4 linked regions of the Saccharomyces cerevisiae S288C genome follow. The gene in region 4 interacts genetically with the main gene of each other region. Each region holds a gene or a part of one and is shown on either strand. Other genes may lie near its edges. The genes, in order: MIC19, ISC1, PDB1 and MGM101.

Evidence for each region.
Region 1: mutations in MGM101 (region 4) and MIC19 together harm fitness more than expected from each alone (negative genetic interaction), as found in Saccharomyces cerevisiae (2 studies listed by BioGRID).
Region 2: mutations in MGM101 (region 4) and ISC1 together harm fitness less than expected from each alone (positive genetic interaction), as found in Saccharomyces cerevisiae (2 studies listed by BioGRID).
Region 3: mutations in MGM101 (region 4) and PDB1 together harm fitness more than expected from each alone (negative genetic interaction), as found in Saccharomyces cerevisiae (2 studies listed by BioGRID).

What each region holds. Positions count from the first base shown.
Region 1 is NC_001138.5:166,246-169,515, forward strand, and holds MIC19 (Mic19p), read right to left. Parts: upstream 1,014-3,270; coding exon 501-1,013; downstream 1-500. Other genes in the region: ubiquitin-specific protease UBP6, read left to right, coding at 1-321; DCV1 (Dcv1p), read left to right, coding at 1,643-2,251; YFR012W-A (uncharacterized protein), read left to right, coding at 2,979-3,065.
Region 2 is NC_001137.3:190,880-194,771, reverse strand, and holds ISC1 (inositol phosphosphingolipid phospholipase), read right to left. Parts: upstream 1,976-3,892; coding exon 542-1,975; downstream 1-541. Other genes in the region: Arf family guanine nucleotide exchange factor SBH2, read left to right, coding at 233-499; kinetochore-associated Ndc80 complex subunit SPC25, read left to right, coding at 2,148-2,813; AAA family ATPase AFG3, read left to right, coding at 2,984-3,892. UniProt on the Saccharomyces cerevisiae protein: Responsible for the hydrolysis of the phosphosphingolipids (IPS), inositol phosphorylceramide (IPC), mannosylinositol phosphorylceramide (MIPC), and mannosyldiinositol phosphorylceramide (M(IP)2C).
Region 3 is NC_001134.8:664,588-668,234, forward strand, and holds PDB1 (pyruvate dehydrogenase (acetyl-transferring) subunit E1 beta), read right to left. Parts: upstream 1,667-3,647; coding exon 566-1,666; downstream 1-565. Other genes in the region: YBR220C (uncharacterized protein), read right to left, coding at 1-90; YBR221W-A (uncharacterized protein), read left to right, coding at 1,951-2,055; PCS60 (Pcs60p), read right to left, coding at 2,133-3,647. UniProt on the Saccharomyces cerevisiae protein: The pyruvate dehydrogenase complex catalyzes the overall conversion of pyruvate to acetyl-CoA and CO(2).
Region 4 is NC_001142.9:698,909-702,470, reverse strand, and holds MGM101 (Mgm101p), read right to left. Parts: upstream 1,590-3,562; coding exon 780-1,589; downstream 1-779. Other genes in the region: 40S ribosomal protein eS4 RPS4A, read left to right, coding at 1-444; PMT4 (dolichyl-phosphate-mannose-protein mannosyltransferase), read left to right, coding at 1,857-3,562. UniProt on the Saccharomyces cerevisiae protein: Performs an essential function in the repair of oxidatively damaged mtDNA that is required for the maintenance of the mitochondrial genome. Binds to DNA.

The sequences.
Region 1 (3,270 bases), on a different chromosome or scaffold from region 4:
TATGAGACACAAGTGGCTCTTAACGAAAGTGAAAAAGATCAATGGCTCGAAGAGTATAAGAAACATTTTCCTCCAAACTTGGAAAAAGGTGAAAACCCATCTTGTGTTTATAACTTGATCGGTGTCATTACACATCAAGGTGCCAATTCTGAGTCTGGACACTATCAAGCTTTCATAAGGGACGAACTGGACGAAAATAAATGGTACAAATTTAATGATGATAAAGTTAGCGTTGTTGAAAAGGAAAAAATTGAATCTTTAGCCGGTGGGGGCGAAAGTGATAGTGCACTGATCTTAATGTATAAAGGATTTGGTCTGTAAGTCCATTTTTCATTTTTTCAAAATTAATAGTTTTTTCGGAATATACATATACATTTTTTTACATACACATAAAAATATTTCTCTCCCTTTTACGTTCATCCGCCAATCGATAAAAATGCATTTTATATACATGAAATGGCGAATTCTTTTTGGTCGAGTTTATGTATACTTTTTCTTATTCAACCCATAACGAGCTTCTTGAATTCTTCCATCTCTTCGTAACAATTCAATGGCTTGCCCTTATTGGCCAAAAGACACTCAGTCAATTTTGCCTTTATAGAAATGCTGCCGTTGTCGGTTTTTTTATCAGATTTACCTTTGGCACCCCCATATTTCTCCAACTTTTGTAACTCTAATTGATCAAATAATGTTAGTTTCTTGTTCAACGACTCGATTTGATTATTCAATGAACTTGATGATATTCCATCAACGGCATCCTTGTCGTCGTCTGATAATAGTGAATTGTTCAAAGTATCTTCAAACTTCTTTAACGTTTCAACTTCTAGGTTAGATAGCCTTTGTGAAACCTTCTTCTCAATGAACTTTTCTGCATTTTGCTTGGTGACATAGTCTGATTCCTTCGATGAATCCAATTGAGAAACCAAAGACTGTGAAAAATCGATCTGTGTTAGCGGAGTATAGACTTGTTGTTTTTCTGCACCAGCACCCACTTTGGAAGTGTTTGAACCCATGATTGACTCTGTATTAGTCGATATACCACCTTGTTTTTGTTCTTGAATTTTTTTTTGATTAGCAATCTCTTTGAAATGTTCCTCCTCACTTGTTTTTTCCTCTGCGTCTCATTGGAAGAAGAAATATATATATATGCGACATACCACGAATATTCGTAGTTTTTTACAACAAAAACGACTCTCGGTAGCCAAGTTGGTTTAAGGCGCAAGACTGTAATTTACCACTACGAAATCTTGAGATCGGGCGTTCGACTCGCCCCCGGGAGATATTTTTTTAAATCTTGCAGCTTTCAATATTTAAATATAAGTAATAAACCATCAGTTAAACAACAGAACAAGTATTTCTTAAATCTCATGAAAAATCTAATAATGTTATTTGCCGAATTTTATTATTGATTTGGTTGGTCTTCTTGATAATTCTGTGGGCGCTTTTTTTGTGACATATTAAAATTGCGAAATTGCAAACGAAAATATAAATATATATGAATGTTAATAAATAAATTATTTAATTGATGATTGAGGATGAAATACACTTTTATGATCTGTCCTTACGCGTAATAATTACAAGAAGGTGAGAAAATTGCCTTTTTTTGCTAATTTTTTTTTTTTGGTACCATATTCAATAATTGATGCTAAATTATAAATTGATTTTATTGTTTTCCTCTTTCCTACAATTAATCTCTTTTTCTGGCTTTATGATATGTTGTTTAACTTCACCAATAATTAGAAACTGGGGGCTGGCTCAAGCTGCTGGAGTTTCATATGGTACCTTTGGTTACTGTAAAACTTTGAATTCTTTTTCCTGCTCTCGAGTACGTTTAATATATAACACCTCGAAAGAAATATTACCTGGCCCTTCTCTTGAACGTTGGTGGCTGAGTCCTAAGGCAAGACATACAATAGGAGGACTTTTGATTTCGATACCGGTTGCTACATGTTTGACTTTCATTTCTTTTGCACTTCCCTTGGTTATTATTTTTCTTTTTCAGACTGGAGGAACTAATGTCTCACTTATTACTTCCAACGCTATATTACACATATTGACACTTTTATCAACTATTTTTGCATGCACCGTGATCCTGTTACTTTGCATGCACCGTGATCCTGTTACAATTTCATCCTTATACGACTTGGTGTGGCTGGCTAACTGTTCCCTGTTCCCTCTGCTCGTTATTGGCGTGCATTTTCTCAGTTTTAGGTTTGATACGTCTGCGCAGTCAGACAGAAAACATAGCTAAAGAAGCTAGTATAGAGAACGTAGACAGTATTCTCAAACTATATGGAACGAGTCAAACATCAAGTTCCCTTGGCGAAAATTATCCACAAACAACTAAGGGCACAGACCAATCTGTGTATGACATCACAAGTCTTTTTAATGATCTACCAAGGACCTTAGATCCCAATCAAGATAAACTGGCGGTAACAAATCAAGATGAACCACCGCCTGAAATCAAATCTCCATTGAAGCAAGCAGGTTTGGTGAGTTTCTTCGCTCCAAAGTTGAATGGTAAACAAATATTTTCTAGAAGGCATGTTGAAAATCAAAAATCCTTATCTTTGGATGAAATCAATATAACCGACTTACCTGCAAAGCAAGAAAATGTGGAAATGCCTACTGAAAAAAAAAAGGCAAATATTTTATATTATGAGGGAATCTCAAGCCATTCACAAGATAACTACGACCCTCCTTGGTTATTTGGCGTTGAGGCTACCCAATCAGCCGATTGCTTTAAAATATATTCAAAAAAAAATCATTGTCTCACAGAGCCCCGCCAATATCAACTACAACAACCAAATAATTACCAGGATCAAAGTGAGGTTCCTCATAACTCTTTCATTCCTTGGTATTCCCGAAGAAGACCAGTAGGATACAACCACAATTACAATCGCTACTACTCACAGACAACTCATGGTAACAGCGAACACTCCCGACAAACATTGCCACAGACCTACAACATACACAGCATGCTCCCCAGAAAGTACAAGCCCGCCTACAAAAAACAGGCACATCGTGTGAAGAGTAATCCACAACCAGCTTATACTTTCCAATGACAAAATAACAAGAATAAAGTACTATCCAATCTGCTTTTTTTGTACGCGTTTTGTTGGCGCGCCGCAATTTGAAAAATAAGAATAAAGTACTTCTTGCTACTATTTAATGATTCCATCCGTATTCCACATCGTTGACGTCTGAGTCTGATAGACTAGTATATAGAAAATAAAAATAAGATAGAGTAAATAGTATGCTACTTTTATC
Region 2 (3,892 bases), on a different chromosome or scaffold from region 4:
AATTATAAGTTTGATTCTGCCCCGGGTACCACGGGTTACCCGTTTCCTTAGCCTTTTGGATTTCGTCTTTTTTTTTTTCCTCCATTTTCACTTTTTCATTCAGTTACTAACTGGCCAAAAGAGACATTTTAGATATAAGAGGTATGAGAGAGTAGATATATGTGCGTGTGAGAAAAGGTAAGGGGCGCAAAGCATAAAACAGGTGGTATTATCGATCAACAGTATCATAAGAATGGCAGCTTCAGTTCCACCAGGAGGTCAGCGTATCTTGCAGAAGAGAAGACAGGCACAATCCATTAAGGAAAAGCAAGCAAAACAAACGCCCACTTCCACCAGACAGGCTGGTTACGGTGGGTCTTCAAGCTCAATTTTGAAGTTATATACGGACGAAGCCAATGGATTCAGAGTCGACTCCCTTGTCGTATTGTTCCTATCTGTCGGTTTCATCTTCTCCGTGATTGCTTTGCATCTATTGACGAAATTTACACACATTATATAATATCAGTAATTTTTTTACATATGCTAAAGAAAATCGATAATATCATTTCTCGCTCAAGAAAGTTTGCAGGTGGTGCTCCGCGTCCAGAACCTCTTGTTCGACTTCGATGAGGGCTCTGATTTCAGACCTGCCAAACAAGAAGGAGATGGCACCGTCGATGGTGCCCGAGATGGAGACAGCAATAGCGAAAAGGACCCAGAAGATGGAGGACCAGCCTGCCTTGTTTGCAGTAAACGTTGTCACGACCAACGACGCTATTAGGAGAAGTATTGAGGCCCAGAAATGTAGGCCACGGAAAAATTTCTGTCTTTGGGCTGTCTTCAAGTACGTGTGGATGCATTCTATCATGGTTTCGTAGTTGGAGTATCTCTGCAAGATCAGCTCTCTATCATGAGTCTTCGCACGCTTAACGGAGGTGGATGGACGGGACTCTGTGCCCTGTGGGACGATGTTAAGGGTGCATGAGTATGCAAAATGGTCAGAGACACTGCAGTCCAGGTGAGGGATCCGTTCAGTGAACCTGACACCTGCGTCTACTGTTTGCAAGAAATCAGGGTCGATAAGAGCATAATCCAACCTGCATGCCTCATCGGGTTGTCTTTGGGCCCTCCATGTGTTGAGCAGCGAATCGCACGTGGTACAGCCCTTAAGCAATTGTTGCAATGGAGACAGACGAGCGATCACCGCCAAGTCTTGCTTCCCATGCAATTGCTCCCAGGAGTCGACCAGGCCGGCCTCCTGCGTGAGAAATTTGTGGGGCAGTGAGCCCGGTCTGGAGTTTAAGTCACCCACCACAATCACCGCATAACCGGCCTGCCTGTAAAGCTTAATGAGCCTGCTGAAATCCCAGGCCTGACAAGATCTGTGGCACAAGTAGGCGGCATCACCCTGCTTGGCGTATGGGGCGTGCATGTGACTGTTCATTATTGCAATGGGGCGGGTTCCTGTGTTCAATACGGTGATTGCTATAGATTTCCCTACGTACCAGTCGCCACGGAACACCGCACTCGGTCTACCGTTTATCGGGAACCGGTAAAGAAAGGTCGACTCTATCGGGACCTTGGACAGTATGGCCAACCCAGGCCCCGTCAGAATACCAGAATGGAACAAACGCTGATACGGATACTTGGAGGCACACGCAGAAGCTAGATACTTCCAGTCTTCCACACACCAGATTTCTTGTAAGGCAATCACGTCGTAATCTTCGTTTTCATTACTATCTCCACCATTGGGCAACAACTCGTCAGATATTGGCGTAAGCATTGAGTGGCCCGCCAATTTATCAGCAATTGCTCTGAGTCTTTCTTTACGGTGTTTGGAGACGTATTTTAACCCCCATGTATTGAAGGTCAGAAACTTTATGGAATACGCTTTACTATTATCGGACATAATTGCGTTGGTCCCGTTCAGTGCTTCAAACTCAGATTGACCATCTTCCTTCCTCTCGTGAACATCTCTGTCTTTTCTGTTGTACATATATCTGCTTTTTTTCCCTTTTTACGCGGAAAGCGCAAATTTCCTCGAAGATTTAAGCCAAACCAAAATAAATCAAACCAAACCAAAACAAAACAAAAACAAAAACAAAAACAGGCTAAGCCGATTCAATTAAAACCGCTCATACGTATACAACACATACACACATACAAGAATGGCCAGCATAGACGCATTTTCGGACCTTGAGCGCCGGATGGACGGGTTCCAAAAGGACGTGGCCCAGGTACTGGCACGTCAGCAAAACCACGCGCGCCAACAGCTGCAACAGTTCCAAGCGGAAATGCGTCAATTACATAACCAACACCAACATCTCATAGATGAACTGCAACGGCTTGCCACCCAGCGCACCGCTCTGCAGCAACAAATACATGCGGCCCAACAAGCTACAAATACCACCAGAGAGCAGTGGAGAAGCTATCACGAGCGTGAATCTGAGTTATCTAGACGGCAGTCGACCTTAGCAGCCCAATCGCGCGAGCTGGACTCGCTGCTGCAACAGCGTGGTAAAGAGTGTGTCCAATTACGCGCACGTTGGGCTGCGCAGTCGGGTAACGATGCCGCAGAGGTCGCACTGTACGAACGGCTGTTGCAGCTTCGTGTACTACCCGGAGCCAGCGATGTGCATGACGTACGTTTCGTATTCGGCGATGATTCACGCTGCTGGATCGAAGTCGCGATGCACGGAGACCACGTGATCGGAAACTCTCACCCGGCGCTGGACCCCAAGAGTCGGGCAACACTTGAGCACGTGCTTACCGTCCAGGGCGACCTCGCGGCATTTTTAGTCGTGGCCCGCGATATGCTTCTGGCATCTTTATAACGCCTTTATACGCATCTGTTCAGTTTATTCTGGGCCTATGATTTAGATGAGGAATAAATTGGTTCTTACTGTCTATACATAACTTTTACAAGGACCCATTCTATATTAAAGGAGATTAACGCAGTCTTCAAATAAAGGCATCATCCACTTATTTTATAATATACTAAGTGATGATGATGTGGCAACGATATGCAAGGGGTGCGCCACGCTCATTGACATCACTCTCATTTGGTAAAGCTAGCCGCATATCAACAGTGAAGCCAGTGCTTCGCTCGCGCATGCCAGTTCACCAGCGTTTGCAGACGTTATCTGGTCTGGCAACCAGAAACACAATACACCGTTCTACCCAAATACGTTCCTTCCATATCTCATGGACAAGGTTAAATGAAAATAGGCCAAACAAAGAGGGTGAGGGCAAGAACAATGGTAATAAAGATAATAATAGCAATAAAGAAGATGGCAAAGACAAAAGAAATGAGTTTGGTTCATTATCAGAATACTTCAGATCTAAGGAATTTGCTAATACGATGTTTTTGACCATCGGATTCACAATTATATTTACTTTGCTCACACCTTCCAGTAACAACTCAGGAGACGACTCTAACCGCGTCTTGACTTTCCAGGATTTCAAAACAAAATACCTGGAGAAGGGTCTTGTGTCCAAGATTTACGTCGTTAATAAGTTTCTCGTAGAGGCCGAATTAGTCAATACAAAGCAAGTTGTATCGTTCACCATTGGTTCAGTAGATATTTTTGAGGAACAGATGGACCAGATCCAGGACCTCTTGAACATTCCTCCTCGGGATCGTATCCCCATCAAATACATTGAGAGATCTTCTCCCTTCACATTTTTGTTCCCCTTCCTGCCCACCATCATTCTGCTTGGTGGCCTTTACTTCATAACCAGAAAAATAAATAGTTCACCACCAAATGCCAATGGTGGTGGTGGAGGAGGCCTCGGCGGCATGTTTAATGTTGGAAAATCCAGAGCAAAGCTCTTCAATAAGGAAACAGACATTAAAATTTCATTTAAAAATGTTGCCGGTTGTGATGAAGCTAAACAGGAAATCATGGAATTT
Region 3 (3,647 bases), on a different chromosome or scaffold from region 4:
TATGCCTTGAGCCAAATATAACATAATTAAAAGATAAAATTGCGGCAAATCATGCTTGGCTAGTGACCCGCTCTTTCGCTTAGGTTCCATGCCTACTTTTGTTTTATCCCCCTATAACTATGGTATATTATACTGCCTCACCAAACGTTTAGGTCTTGCTTCTGCTTCCCACAGTAGCTTACGCATTATAGCCGATTTATTTTTCACTTATTTTCGCATGCCAGAGTATCTTTATTTTCTTTCTTTCATTCAGCCTGTCGTCGAAAAGAAAAAAAAGAAAATAAATATGTGCGTATTCTAACCATGAAACAGGAACTCATTCAATGTGCACAGTACTTATCTCATTCAATTTTGTAAAAACAAAATATATACATTGTATGTATGTGTGTATTTGCAGTTATATATCTACTAATAACCAGTACGCCATACATGTCTTGATTAGCAAAATATTATTTATGTTTTTCTCATTAGTACTATTTCCGCGAAGAGGGTAGAAAGTGTAGGGTACAGGGAAAAAAGTTCCCTATCTCCTTCTTTCTCTCCTTCCTATTGGATTGAAGTTTATTTATTCAATTGACAAGACTTCTTTGACAGCTTTAACGATGGTTGGAGTATCAGGGAAAGCGAAATCTTCTAATTCTTTAGCGTAAGGTGTTGGAACATCGGCACCAGTAACTCTTTGGATTGGAGCATCCAAGTAATCAAAGGCTTCAGACTCCATAACTTGGGCGACAATTTCAGCACCAACACCAAATGATGGGAAAGTGGATTCAACAGTAATCAAGTGGTTTGTCTTCTTGACAGTTTTGATGATAGCTTCAGTATCTAAAGGTCTAATAGAACGCAAGTTGATAACTTCTGCAGAGACACCATATTTCTTTTGTAGAATTTCAGCGGCTTCCAAAGAAAACTGAACGTTTCTTGTGTACGTAACAATGGAAATATCGGTACCTTCTCTTTCGATCTTAGCCTTGTATGGCAAGGTGAACTCAGGGGATAAAGCTTCTTCTGAGATTTCAAAAGATTCACCGTACAACAATTCGTTCTCTAAAAATACAACAGGGTTTGGATCTCTGATGGCGGCCTTTAACAAACCCCTAGCATCTTCAGCAGAATAAGGGACAAGGACCTTTAACCCTGGAATGGAACCGTACCAAGGAGAAAAGTCCTGTGAATGTTGAGCACCAACACCCACTGCAGCACCATTAGGACCTCTGAAGACCATTTGACATTTTTGAGTACCACCAGACATGTAGTGAGTCTTTGCAGCGGAATTGACAACATGATCGATAGCTTGCATAGAGAAATTGAACGACATAAACTCTACAATTGGCTTCAAACCCTTCAAAGCGGCACCAACGGCCAAACCTGTGAACCCGTATTCGGTAATAGGTGTGTCAACCACACGACGTTCACCGAACCTGTCCAATAAACCCTTTGACACCTTATAAGCCCCGTTATATTGTGCAACTTCTTCACCAATAAGGAAGACATCATCATCACGGTCCAATTCTTCCGCCATGGCACTATTCAAGGCCTCTCTGACGGTCATCGTCTTTGTTGATGAGAATCTCAATGCTGCTGCTGCTGCAGAGGGTCTTACAAAAGAAGTTGGGGCACGACGTGCAACATTTCTGGCCAATGATGTTGGCAGTCTGGAAAACATGTTGAACAAAATTATTGCAAAAGTAAAAGAACTTACTAAACTGCGATCGATTATCAATGAACAAACACAGGAACTGTTATGAGGGAGGCGGAATTTAACGTCCGAGTGTGTAAATGATACTAAATTAGTCTAACAAAAGGAAGAAACTTGACAGAGATAATATCAAGAGTCGCTGTTGCAATCGTTAACCTGTATATGTAGATACACCTCTTTTTATTGCAAACGTGCAAACGCATGACTTTTAATGACGGAGAACTTCTTAGTTGAAGACTCGTCTCTTTTGCATGTTCTCCCACTTCGAAGTCTCGGAAAACAGACCCCGGAAACAGCCGCGACGAAAAAGAATCAGCTTAGGCATGATAAATACTGTGGTTTCATTAGATAGATAAAATACATAAGTATTGGCGTATATAAACGGGTGCCAGATAGAAGCTTTCAGAGAGCATAAAATTGTACAGGATACTGCCTACAACTTACTCTTATTTCTGCTGCTCTTAGCAAAAGTTTCTGCGATAACTCTTCTCTGGATTTTACCTGTAGCGGTTTTTGGTAGCTTATCAACAAAGTACACCTTGGTTGGAATTTTGAAAGAGGCTAGGTGCTTCTTTAAGAAGTTCACCAGTTCTTCGTAGGTCATTTTTTCTCCCTTCTTCAAAACAATGGCGGCTTGAACTACTTGGCCGTACATATCGTCGGGAACACCAAATGCAACGGCTTCATCGATCTTTGGATGCGATAGCATAATGCCGTCGAGCTCAATGGGTGAAATCTTTTCACCACCCCTGTTGATAAGCTCTTTGATTCTGCCTGTAAGGACCAAAAACCCCTCAGGGTCGAAATAACCTTGGTCACCGGTTCTGAAATAGTTCTCTCTCTTGGTGAAGTTCTCCTTGTTAGCTTTTGGATTATTAGCATACCCCAAAGTGACGTTTTCGCCTCTGATGGAAACTTCGCCGACTTTGCCCGGGGGCAAGACATTGTCATTGTCATCTAGAATGACGACGGTGACTCCTTGTGGCTGGCCCACAGTACCAGGCTTTCTCTTTCCTGGAGGCAGATTGTTTGAGGTCATTTGATGTGATGCTTCGGTCATCGCATAGGCCTCCAAGACAGGTGCATTGAATTCCTTCTCCAGCTTATGGAACGTTGCTGGAGCCAAAGCAGAAGAACACGATCTGATGAATCTAATGTGTGGGAAAGGGTTTGGTTTGGGCATGTTCAGCATAATCATGCTTATTGTGGGAACGCAACTGAACCAATTACAGTTGTACTTAACAAATTGGTCCCAGAATAACTTTGGATGGAATCCATCGGGAACCACAACAGAACCCTGAGTTCTAAAAGTGGAAAGTAAAACACCAATTAACCCATGGACGTGGAAAAGAGGCATCACGACATAAGATCTGTCCAAGGGCGTTAGCTTGTAAGTGTTAGCAATGTTCAACGTGCTTCTCACAATGTTCAAATGTAACAAAGGCACCGTTTTTGGAGTGGAGGTGGTACCACTGGTATGCAAAATCAGGGCAACGTCACTGGAACGGGCAAACCCAGGGAATTTAACGGGATTTGTGTTGACAAATTTGGCGTTGTTCAAAGACCGGTAAATAACCCTTTTGTAGTTGTCCTCTGGAGAGTATATATCATACTCTACCCTAAACCTGGTCGCATCGAAGGCCAGCTCTACGATAAAACATCCAAACGTGGAGGCAGATTTTAGAATTTCAGAACTCTGTAACTTTGTGGTACCCTTTGGGACGCAAATCGCCTTAGATTTCAGGTCATTCAAATAAAAATTGAACTCCTTTTCCTTATAATTGGGATTCAAGGGCGCGCCAATTTTAGCGTCCATAGTAGCACCGAGGAAAGCGACGATAAATTCCAGCCCATTACGCATGGATATCGCCACTGTATCTTGTCTGAAAACAGCTCCGTACAATGGAGAATTAGGATTTGTGAACATGGTCTGGAAGTGACCCACCAT
Region 4 (3,562 bases):
ACCGATGAAGAAGCTTCTTACAAGTTGGGTAAGGTCAAGAAGGTTCAATTAGGTAAGAAGGGTGTTCCATACGTTGTTACCCACGATGGTAGAACTATCAGATACCCAGACCCAAACATCAAGGTCAATGACACTGTTAAGATCGACTTGGCCTCTGGTAAGATTACTGATTTCATCAAGTTCGATGCCGGTAAGTTGGTTTACGTTACTGGTGGTCGTAACTTGGGTCGTATCGGTACTATCGTTCACAAGGAAAGACACGATGGTGGTTTCGATTTAGTTCACATCAAGGACTCCTTGGACAACACTTTCGTCACTAGATTGAACAATGTCTTCGTCATCGGTGAACAAGGTAAGCCTTACATTTCTTTGCCAAAGGGTAAGGGTATCAAGTTGTCTATTGCTGAAGAACGTGACAGAAGAAGAGCTCAACAAGGTTTATAAATTTCATAACAACTTAATTATTTTCTTCTTTTGTATATCTCCATTAATGTTTATTAGAAATTGAATTTTAAAATAATACATCGTATCTTCCTTTTTCGACTGGCAGTAATATAACGTATAATATATATATTAGGTGTGTGTATATATATCCGTATTGTAATATTGATAGTAAAAATACGCTAACCCTGAAATAGAAGGCGTATGATAAGACGTACTGACACTACGCACTACCACAATATATGCGTATGTGTGTGTGTGTGTGTGTGTGTGTGTGTGTGTGATTGTATTGGAATATATATACTTACTAAAATTAGCTTATATGGTTCGCATATTGACTATTTATAAGGATATTCAACTTGTCTGTCCTTTCTTAACCAAATTTTCTTCTTTCTCTTGGTGGTAACATGTTCCACAAACTTCTCAGTACAATGATCCACTTTGAATTTCTTTATGAAAACAGGGTCCCATAATTCAGAACCGACGCCGAGATCTTTGCAACACCTCATTAATGCATTACTTTTGCAACCTTCTGTAGCAGTTGGTATGCCGGCTTCGTTGAAATAGTCTTGTTCGCCTCTTGCCACACTGATCAATTGACCATGGCAAATAAGACCGTACTCCCTAGTGACCAGCTTGGATGTCACTATTGTTTGTGATCTTGGCACTAGCCCCCAACCGCCTGCGCCAAAAGCTTTGTTCAGTATTCTACGGTATTTAATTTCAGGCAAGTATATCAAACCATCTGGCTTGATTTCTATATCCTTAGGGTCCAGAGGCTCGATTAGATCCTTTTGCACTTTTGCTTCAAAGGGCTTCATACCTAGGCCATACCATGAAGTATACCAGTCAATGTCTCCCTTGACTTGCTTATAACTATTGTTCAAAGAATCATCGGCGGTGCTGCGGGTTTCCAAAGGGGTCCCGCCGAGTTTAGAGTTAATGCCGCTTGAATATTCCTTCATGTGGCTTCCATTGCCAGCTTCCGATTTTGTTGCAAATACAGGCTTGGTTTCGGTACTGTTGAAACTTTTCCTCACTGCACCGGCTGTTGCGGTGTTACTAGTGCCGGTACTCACCACGGTTCTTTTTTGGCAAAATTGAGCAGCATGCGATACACATCCTCTAACCTTGAAAATGCTTTTCATCGTACGCTGATCTTCCTACTTGTCCTTTCTTTCCTTTTTTAGTCTCTACCGTCTTTTTAAATAGTTTCTTCCATTATTCTGTCGATAAATTTCGTGATGTTATTCGTGTATTTCTTGACAAAAAAAATAAAAAATGAAAAATATGCATAATGAAACGCGCTTTATCAAAACTACTCACTCGAATCCTTACTTCTATATTAACTGTACTAAGAAGTTTGTCGATACATATTTTACCAAGATATTTTCTGACAGTCCACAGAAGTACAGATGTCTGTGCCCAAAAAACGTAACCATGGGAAGTTACCACCTTCCACTAAGGACGTAGACGATCCTTCGTTGAAGTACACGAAGGCCGCGCCTAAATGTGAACAAGTTGCTGAACATTGGCTCTTGCAGCCACTACCGGAACCGGAATCACGTTATAGCTTTTGGGTAACAATTGTTACCTTATTAGCGTTTGCTGCTAGATTTTATAAGATCTGGTATCCAAAAGAAGTTGTTTTTGATGAGGTACATTTCGGGAAATTTGCATCGTATTACTTAGAAAGGTCTTATTTCTTTGACGTTCATCCCCCTTTTGCTAAGATGATGATTGCCTTCATTGGTTGGTTATGTGGCTATGATGGTTCCTTTAAGTTTGATGAGATTGGGTATTCTTATGAAACTCATCCAGCTCCATATATCGCGTACCGTTCTTTCAACGCGATATTGGGCACATTGACTGTACCAATTATGTTCAACACTTTGAAGGAACTGAATTTCAGGGCTATTACATGTGCGTTTGCATCTCTCTTGGTTGCAATCGATACTGCGCATGTTACAGAAACTAGGCTGATTTTACTGGATGCCATCTTGATTATTTCTATTGCTGCTACTATGTATTGTTACGTTCGTTTCTACAAGTGCCAATTGCGTCAACCTTTTACATGGAGTTGGTATATTTGGTTACACGCTACTGGTTTGTCTTTATCCTTCGTGATTTCCACAAAATATGTTGGTGTTATGACATATTCCGCTATTGGTTTTGCTGCTGTGGTCAACTTATGGCAATTACTGGACATCAAGGCGGGTTTGTCCTTGAGGCAGTTCATGAGACATTTTAGTAAAAGGCTGAATGGTTTAGTTTTGATTCCATTTGTGATTTACTTGTTTTGGTTCTGGGTTCATTTCACCGTTTTGAATACTTCAGGTCCTGGCGACGCATTTATGTCTGCTGAATTTCAAGAAACACTTAAGGACTCTCCCTTAAGTGTTGACTCTAAAACCGTCAATTATTTTGATATTATCACTATCAAACATCAAGATACTGACGCATTCTTACATTCTCACTTGGCACGTTACCCACAACGGTATGAAGATGGTCGTATCTCATCCGCTGGTCAACAAGTTACTGGTTACACGCATCCTGACTTCAACAATCAATGGGAAGTGTTACCACCCCATGGCAGTGATGTCGGTAAAGGACAAGCTGTTCTATTGAACCAGCATATAAGATTGAGACATGTAGCCACCGATACCTACTTGTTAGCCCATGATGTCGCCTCCCCATTTTACCCTACCAATGAAGAAATCACTACAGTAACTTTAGAAGAAGGTGATGGGGAATTATATCCTGAAACACTTTTTGCATTCCAACCACTGAAAAAATCAGATGAAGGTCACGTTTTAAAGAGTAAAACGGTTTCTTTCCGTCTTTTCCACGTTGATACCTCCGTAGCTTTGTGGACTCACAACGACGAGTTGTTACCGGATTGGGGGTTCCAACAACAAGAAATTAATGGTAACAAAAAAGTTATTGATCCTTCAAATAACTGGGTTGTTGATGAAATTGTTAACCTGGACGAGGTTCGGAAGGTATATATTCCGAAGGTTGTTAAGCCATTACCATTCTTGAAGAAATGGATTGAAACTCAAAAATCTATGTTCGAACATAACAATAAACTATCATCAGAGCATCCATTTGCCTCTGAACC